Linked DNA regions of Kluyveromyces lactis. Each later gene encodes a partner of the first gene's protein in a complex. Links are inferred from orthologs where the notes say so. Each region holds a gene or a part of one and is shown in the gene's direction. Other genes may lie near its edges.

Evidence for each region.
Region 2: MRPL10 (region 1) and MRPL9 share a complex: the UniProt entries of both Schizosaccharomyces pombe proteins name them as parts of the mitochondrial large ribosomal subunit. The link is inferred for Kluyveromyces lactis from reciprocal best matches to the Schizosaccharomyces pombe genes mrpl10 and mrpl9.
Region 3: MRPL10 (region 1) and MRPL19 share a complex: the UniProt entries of both Schizosaccharomyces pombe proteins name them as parts of the mitochondrial large ribosomal subunit. The link is inferred for Kluyveromyces lactis from reciprocal best matches to the Schizosaccharomyces pombe genes mrpl10 and mrpl19.
Region 4: MRPL10 (region 1) and MRP20 share a complex: the UniProt entries of both Schizosaccharomyces pombe proteins name them as parts of the mitochondrial large ribosomal subunit. The link is inferred for Kluyveromyces lactis from reciprocal best matches to the Schizosaccharomyces pombe genes mrpl10 and mrp20.

Annotation. Positions count from the first base shown.
Region 1 is NC_006039.1:1,033,445-1,036,174, reverse strand, and holds MRPL10 (mitochondrial 54S ribosomal protein uL15m), read left to right. Parts: upstream 1-1,300; coding exon 1,301-2,230; downstream 2,231-2,730. Other genes in the region: WSC2 (Wsc2p), read left to right, coding at 1-418; KLLA0_C12111g (uncharacterized protein), read right to left, coding at 2,404-2,730. UniProt on the Schizosaccharomyces pombe protein: Component of the mitochondrial ribosome (mitoribosome), a dedicated translation machinery responsible for the synthesis of mitochondrial genome-encoded proteins, including at least some of the essential transmembrane subunits of the mitochondrial respiratory chain.
Region 2 is NC_006041.1:1,426,133-1,428,861, forward strand, and holds MRPL9 (mitochondrial 54S ribosomal protein uL3m), read left to right. Parts: upstream 1-1,407; coding exon 1,408-2,229; downstream 2,230-2,729. Other genes in the region: MRPL6 (mitochondrial 54S ribosomal protein uL6m), read left to right, coding at 421-1,065; exportin CRM1, read right to left, coding at 2,599-2,729. UniProt on the Schizosaccharomyces pombe protein: Component of the mitochondrial ribosome (mitoribosome), a dedicated translation machinery responsible for the synthesis of mitochondrial genome-encoded proteins, including at least some of the essential transmembrane subunits of the mitochondrial respiratory chain.
Region 3 is NC_006040.1:715,829-718,219, forward strand, and holds MRPL19 (mitochondrial 54S ribosomal protein uL11m), read left to right. Parts: upstream 1-1,441; coding exon 1,442-1,891; downstream 1,892-2,391. Other genes in the region: serine/threonine protein kinase NPR1, read left to right, coding at 1-969; ubiquitin-specific protease UBP10, read right to left, coding at 2,218-2,391. UniProt on the Schizosaccharomyces pombe protein: Component of the mitochondrial ribosome (mitoribosome), a dedicated translation machinery responsible for the synthesis of mitochondrial genome-encoded proteins, including at least some of the essential transmembrane subunits of the mitochondrial respiratory chain.
Region 4 is NC_006038.1:504,944-507,361, forward strand, and holds MRP20 (mitochondrial 54S ribosomal protein uL23m), read left to right. Parts: upstream 1-1,192; coding exon 1,193-1,918; downstream 1,919-2,418. Other genes in the region: DNA-directed RNA polymerase II subunit RPB2, read right to left, coding at 1-412. UniProt on the Schizosaccharomyces pombe protein: Component of the mitochondrial ribosome (mitoribosome), a dedicated translation machinery responsible for the synthesis of mitochondrial genome-encoded proteins, including at least some of the essential transmembrane subunits of the mitochondrial respiratory chain.

The DNA of each region.
Region 1 (2,730 bases):
GTCAGACTTCGAGGAAAGTAAGCATTACCAACCTTATTCGTTTGGTCAAGAAGAAGACATCGTAGTCCCACCAGTTACCGGAGGTGGATTTGGCGCTGCTGCTACTTTACCAAACTCTCATTCAGCATCATCATCCTCTGATAGATCTGGTGTAAGTCAAAATAGGGAGAAAAGATTGGATAATAATGGAAACGAAATCAGTGATTCGCAAATCGTTAGTCCGTTTGGAGAAACTATGGATCAACCAGACCTAACACAACCTCCTGTACGTCCGACAATGGGAAATCCTAGATTCAGCAATGGTTCTTTACCAGATGTAACTCAACAAAGGCGACCGCTAAGAATCGCCAATCCAGATGAGCTGGATGATGAGGATACAGAATTCAATTCGATCATCGAAAATCTCAGGGGAGATTGATCCTGATACAATATAACATCATCTTTTTAACACATTTCGCTAAGATAATAGCATGATATACCCAATATCATCCCCTTGTTGTTGTCAAACAAAACAAACGCCAAAAGGAAATATTCCAAATATAAAACATCAACTAAGGCCCACAATAAGCCATGTTCCATACTCACTACTGATACTTGATACCCCTAATGAAAACTATCAACTGAGGATCAGTTAATTGTCTAACACTATAAACAAGACAAGTCACAAAATATATCGAAACGATTTATGTTATACTGATAAGTTGGGCTTTCACATATGTACATATATAACGTTATAATACTCATTTAATTTCTTCACATTTTACTTCAAGGTATCTTTATAATGGTTAATTGTCATGTTTACTGTCGGGAATTATTGTGCTACATTTTCATCTAGGGTAATTGTTTAAGGGATCCAAAAAAATGCTTCCAACCAGAGTCGAACTGATGATCTCCACATTACTAGTGTGGCGCCTTACCAACTTGGCCATAGAAGCTGTTTCTTGTCATAAAAAGAATTTACCACTATATACTCCTACGAGATTATTGCCTGCTACCAATTCTTTTCTGGTGGACCTAACCTATTTTGAACTGAGGAATACGCAGTTTATAATGTTACAGCTACATTTTTGAAAAACGTGATGCTAAAATAATAGTAGGTTTACTGAAATAGTTTCGGCTGTTTCAATTTGTCAATCTGCTAGGCGCATCTAAACACTTACATCAGCATTGCATACCCTCTTATCGTCTCCAAGCTCCCTCTGTGTCCTAGCGAATCTCAGCATTTTAAAAGGTTACCCGAATACCTAATTTCGAAAATTTTTTAGAATGAATATGGTTAACTTACAAGAAATTACTGGAGATGATTTGGATATTCAATGAATCTACTGGATATCTACTATTATCGATATTTAATAGCCCTATCTCGAGGTCTCACAATACTAGCACGATGTTTTCGATCAACAAAGTGGTGAATCCCTTTGGATCACTTATACAGAGATCATTTGTACGCCAAATCACGATCCTTGGTGGTTTAAAACCTGGTGAAGGCTCTAAGAAGAACTACAAAAGATTGGGTAGAGGTCCATCCAGTGGCAAAGGTAAGACTGCTGGTAGAGGTCAAAAGGGTCAAAAGGCCCGTGGTTATGTAAAATCATGGTTTGAAGGTGGTCAAACCCCAATCTTCAAATTGTTCCCAAAGCTAGGGTTCACCAACGTAACATCACTAAAATTGAAAGAATTAAACCTTGATAGAATAACGTGGTTCCACCAAAAGGGTCGCCTACATTTGGAGCCAGGTGAAACCTTGACGATGAAAAAGATGAAAGAAATCGGTTTGGTTACCGGCCCGATCAAAGATGGTATTAAGATTCTAGGTGATGGTAAATTCTCTTATAATCTTCCAATCAAGATTGAAGCTACTAGAGCTTCACAGGATGCAATTGAGGCAATCGAACATGCAGGCGGAAGTTTCACTGCTCGTTATTTCAACCGTCTTGGTCTAAGAGCCCATTTATCACCACATTGGTTCCTAGAAAAGTACGGAAGAGTTCCTCTACAAGCTAGACCCACAAAGAGGAAGGATATTGAATATTACTGTAACGAAGAAAAGAGAGGTTATTTGATTATGGAAAATGACCCATACTATCAACTTTTGCAGAAATCCAAAGATGAAGGCGGTAAAAATTTGGTTGCTCGGAAGACCAAGAAGTCCAAGCTTGAGTTGCAATTAGAGCAACTTGAGAACGATTTTGCTCCTGCTTCTCCAAATTCTGAAATTAAATCAAACTGAACATCATATAGCAATATAGAAATGCCCTGTATATAATACACATCATTCAACGCCATTTCTCCAGATTTATACACCATATCAATCAAATTGATATCTGTATTCACAAGTTGTAGCAACTTTTGTCTATTTAATGCTCTAAAGTCTAAAAATATAAGAATGAGCTTGTCTCACTTTTACACATCGTTTTGTGGAGTAGAAGACTCTGTGTTTTTGTTGTCCAACAATCTTTCTTCGAGAACCTGTAGGGCTAACTTTTTCCTTCTTTCTTCCGCTTCAGAGCCTTCAACAGGCTTAGCACCCCTCTTTTGAGCCAAAATGTTAGCTTGTTCGATATCGTATACTCTAAACGGAGTTGCAATACGCCAATCAACAATAAACTTCTGGTAAAGGTAATCAAATATTGGCTCAAGTACTGGTTTGACTAAATCCGGGAAGAAATATATCAATTGGAATGTCTCAGAGGCATCTCCTACCACTTCAAATTCAGCATCCTCAGCCAT
Region 2 (2,729 bases), on another chromosome or scaffold:
TTCAGTAATTGAGATGAGATGACGATGCGTAGGCGATGAGCTTGAAATTTTTCAAAAAGAAAGGGCAAAGATCAACAAGTCACGTGATGCACAGGATAATATAAGCACAAGGTATTTACTCCTGTGTTTCGACGAAGAGCAGTCTCCACATCCCATTTCGACCCAGGAGTGGCCTAGATGGTCACCAATCGAGAGTAACAGCCTAAGTATATCTTATTTAACAATCGTCAAAGCAATTAAAGTTACCCTCCCATACTATCTCACTATTAAAATTTTGATTCCAAGTGAAAAATTGGTTGAAAGACGCATAGAGATGAGTGCTGGAAGAACAGATTGATATAGACGCATTTGATCTAATATACCCAGTCATATAGCGGCTGCAAAGTGGGCTAGACTATTTCCAGGATATACACAATTACCATGACATTTGTTTCCAGAAGACTCTTTTCTGTGTCGGCTCTTCTGCGCTCACATATTGGTTCTTCTCCGGTGTATTTGACACCGGAGACCAAGTTGGTGGTGGAATCAATGAAACTGCCAAAGATCATCAGAAAGGGTAACAAATCTCTTAAGTTATCTCAGAACGTAACTGTATCGGGTCCTTTGGGGAAGATTGATATGGAAATCCCAGATTTCGTGGAGATAAAGCAGGATGGATCTTCGGGAAAAATCGAAGTTGCAGTGAAGGATTCTACCGACAAGACGCAAAGATCCATGTGGGGGACGGTAAGATCTCATATAAATAATCATATCACAGGCGTGAATGAGAGCCATATGGCTGTTCTGAAGTTCGTTGGTACCGGTTACAGAGCTCAATTGGAGGAAAATAACACCTTTGTCAACGTCAAAGTCGGTGCGTCGGTAAGACAAGGCCTACCTATCCCAGAGGGAATCATAGTTAAGTCTCCGGTACCCACGTCGTTGATCGTGGAAGGTGTCAACAAGCAACAAGTGCTACTCTTCGCTGCCAACTTGAGAAAATTCCATCCTCCAGAACCATATAAGGGTAAAGGTATCTACGTTAACAATGAAACTATCAAGATCAAGGATAAGAAGATCAAATGATGACGATAGAATGATGATTATAATTATTATAATATTAAATAACATGTAAATACAGAAGCATAAACATACACTTCCAATAACCGTCAAGGGCACACTTAATTTGTGTTAAATCAGTGAGAGAACTACGTGCCGTTTTAATCACGTGATCTATAGGTAACTTTATCGATTCAAAAAATTTTCAATATCGAAACAGCTTTAACAATTATACAGAGATGGAAACAGGTTTCAATAGAGTCTTTAAACTACATTTTAAATCCTTTACAGTTTCTCCAGCATTGCCAAGAGGTTATCTGGATTGACACATTTGTTATCAATCGACCAGTCTTTGAAAATTGGGGAATAATGGCATTTATTGGCAGTCCTTCGTCGAAGATTTGGACAAGACTTTTCTCACAAAGTGGAGTATCGAACGGTGCCAAGTTAGTCGCACCATCCGTGGCAAGCAGCATTCATCTAGATCCTGTAGATATTAAACATTCTCCAGAAAATGCGCTAAAGAGAAGAAGATTACCTCTACGTTGTGGTGCTTTGAGTAAAAAAGTAGGGATGATGCCGTATTTCGAGAAAGAGACTGGTAAACGTATAGCAGCTACTGTACTTCAGTTGGACAATAACGAAGTTATACTACACAGAACTCCAGCTGAAAACAATTACTGGGCTTGCCAAATTGGTTATGGTAACAAGTCGCCGGAGAATGTTACCAGACAAATGTTGGGACATTTCGCTGCACATGTTGTGAATCCAAAGGAAAAAGTTACCGAGTTTAGAGTCAAGGACGAATCTGGACTACTACCAGTGGGTTCTTTAATCAAACCTTCGTGGTTCAAGCCTGGCCAATACGTTGATTTAAGATCAATCAGCAAAGGTAAGGGTTTCCAAGGTGTAATGAAACGTTATGGATTCAAAGGTTTGAAGGCATCCCACGGTGTTTCCGTATCTCACAGATCTGGTGGTTCTTACGGTCAAAATCAAACACCTGGTCGTGTGTTGCCTGGGAAAAAGATGCCTGGTCATATGGGTGTCGACACTGTAACAATTCAAAACGTGCAAGTGCTGGACGTCAACGACGAAACAGGTACTGTCTTGGTGAAGGGCTCTGTCGCAGGTCCAAATGGTGCATTCGTTAAGATCCAAGATGCTATCAAAAAGCCAACCCCAGTATAAAAAACTGTGATTAAGAAATTGAATCTTTTCAGTCGTTTAGACACCGTCCCGAAATCATTTGGAAAGCATGCCTTTCTACGGTTATTATTAACAATCTATACCTGTATATACACCAATTATAAAATAGTAACTGCTGCAACGTTGAGTGTCCTTTTCAACCAGATATTTAATGGCTTTCATACGTTGATACTGGATCCTGGGTATATGTCGGAGAGAATTGATTACAATTTTTTTCTCTATGTGGGAAGATATACGGCCTGCTATGTATATATTTGCCTTGCTTGACAAGTGTTAGTTTCAGCTTTCATTGGATCCGCAGAAACTTTTTCGTTTCTTGACCATGCTGTACATTTCTGTAAGGTGTTATCTTTACTCATCATCATCCAATTCCGATGGTTTCAATAACCCACCGATCTTGGAAGCTCTTTCTCTTTCAAGTTTATGTTGTTCCGCGAGAGCTTGTTCTTTGTCCTCTGCGAACAAATAATCGGTTGGATCTC
Region 3 (2,391 bases), on another chromosome or scaffold:
GAATTCAGACCAAAGTTTGAACACGAAAGTAAGCGTGATTATGTGAAGAAAATTACTTCTGAATACTGTATTGGTACAACTTTACGTCATCCAAACATCATATCCACTATTGAAATTGTTTACGAAAACAACAGGATCTTCCAAGTCATGGAGTATTGTGATTATGACCTTTTCGCCATCGTCATGAGTAATAAGATGTCGTATGAAGAAATCTGTTGTTGTTTCAAGCAAATCTTGACCGGTGTAGAATATTTACACAGTATTGGTCTGGCGCATCGTGATATGAAGTTGGACAACTGTGTAATAAACAACCAGGGTATAGTGAAGTTGATTGACTTCGGTGCTGCAGAAGTCTTCTCCTACCCCCACTCAAAAACTTTAATCGAGTCAAGTGGCATTGTTGGAAGTGATCCATATTTGGCTCCCGAAGTTTGTATATTTACCAAGTATGACCCAAGACCTGTTGATATATGGTCCGTTGCCATTTTGTTTGCATGTATGGTATTAAAGAAATTCCCATGGAAGATACCTAAGTTAAAGGATAATTCCTTCAAATTCTTCTGTTCGGGAAGAGACTGCGATTCCTTGAGTGCTTTAGTCACAAAAACACCTAAACCGCCAAGTTATGACAATGCCGTCCAATCTGATGAGCCAGCTGAGAGCACATCTAAATCGAACAACCCATCTGATCCAAACAACACGAATATTGGTCCTCAAAGACTACTTCATTCCTTACCGGAAGAGACCCACCACATTATCGGTAGGATGGTAGACTTGGCTCCTGCTTGTAGAGCCAATATTGAAGAAGTATTAAATGACCCTTGGATTCAATCCATTGACATGTGCACCGTTGAAGTAGACAACCAAGGTAACTACGTCGTGCACCCTGGAATGGACCACAAACATACCCAAGTTGATCAAAGCGAAGCCCACATTGCTGGTCTTGAAAAGAAAAAAAAGGCAAAATAAATTAAGAGAGAGAGTAAAACTAGCAATCCGGCTGAGGTATGTTCTACAGCATGTTTTATCAAATAAGAGTAACTCTTCTGAGACGACATAGACTTCTAATTGTTGTGCAATCGTTATAAATTATCTCTCCTGTAAAAGTACACAAATGTATAAAATATTTAAGAACAATTCTTGGCATTCTCATAAAATTAATGCTTTATAACGTTAGCAACCTTTGGCATGAAGTCGGTACACATCGCAGCATATGGTTCTATTTAGCAGACAATGAATTGTGCTTATTAGAAAGTGTATAATGGAAAACAATGTGCGGGTAATAACTTCAAAATTTTCTTTGGCCTAAAAAATTCTTGGAGATATGCCAGATTATAAGCTGGTAAAAATCGATGGCTTAAAGTAAGATGTGCATTCAATCCGATCAATTGCCTCGAACAAAATATCGAAACAGTAAGTCCAGGAAGCGCCAAACAGGACCATGTCGAAGGTTCTTAAGAACGTGATAGTCAAACTTATTGTCGGAGCAGGTCAAGCTGCGCCTTCTCCTCCAGTTGGTCCAGCTTTAGGGTCTAAAGGTATTAAAGCTATTGATTTCTGTAAAGAGTTCAATGCCAGAACAGCAAACTTCCAACCGGGTACTCCGATTCCAGTACTCATCAATATCAAACCAGATAGAACATTTTCGTTTGAAATGAAAAGCCCTCCTACTGGATATCTTTTATTGAAGGCATTAAGTCTTGAGAAGGGACACGGACAACCAAATATCAGTAACCCTGATAATGTATGTGGTGAACTGTCGTTAAAACATATATATGAGATCGCCAAGATCAAGAAGACCGATGGAAGACACGCTGCTCTGGAACTTGAAGGAATCGTAAAGTCTATTATCGGTGTTGCTAAGAGTATGGGTATTAAGGTAGTTCCATAAACTGACTTTTTTTTCACTAATCAAAGCATCGATTTGTGAAATAGTGAAGGTCTCGATGGAGAGTTTCATTCCAACTGGTTTATTAGCATTTGTAGACCTCATTTCGTGTACATAAAATAGAATAATGAAAAGATAAAATTATAATAATATATCAACTACTATAGATGAAGATGTATATGATGATCCAAATGAACTGAAACCGAAGTGAAAAAAGATGAACTGAAGTCAGTGTGAGGTAGATGCATGTATGACTGTTTACAAAGAAAGAATGAACAAGGATGCAAGTGTATTGTAAGCCGGTAGTTTAAGGAAAGGGTTATTCAAACTTATGGGGAAATCCTTCTCTTCTTGTTTTTTTTCTTATTCTTACGTTTAGAGTTGTTCTGCGATGATGAGTGTGAAGATGGAGGTCTTTGCAATTGCGGAATACCTAGATCAGTAGATTTATTGGAAGATTGAGAGGAAAGTGGGACCGATTTTGGTGTAAGTCTAGTGTACAC
Region 4 (2,418 bases), on another chromosome or scaffold:
CTGGAATATCAATAGCCTGATAAGTTCTCTTCTGAATTTCCACAAATAAACCTGATGCGTAAGTCAAGTTTCTGAGACGGGCTTCCTGCGGATACATCGCATGAGAAACACCATCTGACTCAGTCATGGATGGTTTGGCCAAATAAATCTTACCAAATGAAATTTCATACTTTCTGGAAATGTTGTCCGTTTCAGTGGTATGCTGTGCTAATTGTTCCAAAATCAAGGTACTGTCTTCCAAGATAAGATCCTGAATCGTATAGTTGATGAATTGGTTAAAAGAATCCAACTGCTGAGATACTAAACCTTTTTCTCTGAAGAAAGCGGAGATAACAGTCCACGAATCTTCTGCTGAAATAGCAGCTTCTTCCTCATCGTACCCATATGGATCTTCATCATAGTATTCAGTCATCCTTGGTCTGTATTAAGAATTGCAAACGTTAATAATCTACACTGACCTCACAACCGTGGCAAATAATGCGTACGTGCGTGCTTATTATTAAAGTACAGAATAACACTCTTTGTTGTGTTGCTCGCAACCTGAAAAGAAATGTGTATTACTGGTCAAACAAAGAAGAAAACACACCCCAAATACAAAGAGTTAAGGACTTACCCAATAATCCGAAACAAACCCCACTCTGACAGAAGATGATTAAGCCGACTGGTACTCTCTTTTCTCTTCTCTCTTCCAATCTTCCTATTAACGATCAATCGGTAATTACGTTTCGCCTCTCAAAACAATAATATTTCAATTTCAAGCTTCCAGAGTATTTTTTTTCTTCACTATAAAGAGAACATCATTTCCCACGTCACAAACGGGTAACAGCATTTATTCAAAAATTTCAATATATCAGGTCACGTGAAGATCATTTCCTACGCTCTGATTTTTCCAATAAAAAATCTTTCTTCTAAAACATCCCAGAGCTCTCCAGTTTTGTACGACATATTCTACGTTAGATTCGTGCCAAAATGTGTACTCATCAGCTTTTCTAATATCTACTAACATGGAAAATGAGTATTTTAAAGCTTTTCATTGAAATGATTTCGATTTTAACATTAAGATTTGTATGAAGATGAGGCTTCTAAGAGACGCATACAAGAACAGGATTATTTGGGACTTTTCAGTTGCGAGTGCAGAGCGAAGTGAAGTAGTAATCTTTGCGCCAGTGTTTCTGTTCAATATCTATAACAAATGCCTCGTTTTTTCCCATCTCTCAAACAGGGTTTGAGAAACCTTGCTACTGCGGTAGAGACGGAATCTACAGTAGCAGTCAAAGCCAGTCAGTTCAAGAGACCTCGTCAATCCGTACAAAGCAGAATCTTGGAGTACACTCGTGAAGCGATTAAAACTGAGAAACCACATTTTAAAGTTGGTGGTGCAGAGCTCTATTTTCCTAAAGCGAGAGTTATTCTACTAAGACCAAATGCTAAACACACTCCATATCAAGCGAAATTCATCGTTCCTAAATCGTTTAACAAATTAGATTTAAGAGATTATTTATTCCACCTTTATGGTTTAAGAGCGTTGAACGTTACTACACAGTTATTGCATGCCAGATACACTCGTGCTACGCCGGTGTCGCCCAGGTACCGTGGTCCTCAAATCAAGAAGATGACTATCGATATGGCAGAACCATTTATCTGGCCTGCAGAACCTGAGGACAAGAGTGCATGGAATACTGAGTTCCAAAAGGAATTGGAAAAATACAGAAACGATAGGATGAGACTAGGATCCGACGCTAACAAACCTTCAAAGGCATTCGATGGTGTATTGGGACCATACCAGGAAACTGCAAAACCTTTCATTCCTAGATTCCTTAAAAGAAGACTAGTGAATAAGAAGGCTAGAGAGGCAAAGAAGGAACAATATTTGGAGCAAATCAAGAAGGTCAGTGAAGTCCTTGCTAAAAGCACATGAATTTCAGAGAATTTATTCTTTCATGAATTAAATTCTAGTAAAAGTATTACATCCTGTAAATATAATGTATGAAATATAGTACTGATTTAAAAACTGTCATAGCAAAATAATATGACGACTACTTGTGAACATTTTCAATGTTTAAATGAGAAATAAGTTTGAAGAACACTATATGTATGTATAAAAGATAAATACATTGTGGTGAATATTAAGGGAAAGTTAAGTGCAGTATGTCCCAGTTTGAAAAAAAATGAAGCGAAAAAAGAGTAACGGTATAAGATTTCTATTTGATTCCTGAATTTCCGTTGTATTGATCTTCACGGTTCAGGATGGAAGGGTTCAATAACGGGCAGGTGCTCATTTAATGTCATACTTAGTCACTAAACGGTTAATCTTGTTTCTTTTTTTCCTGTTGCTGATTATACTAAGATTGGCATTCTAATGTTCTTTATAAGTTCCTATTCCAATTAGTACACGGAGTTTCTAGTTTTTTTGTTCCT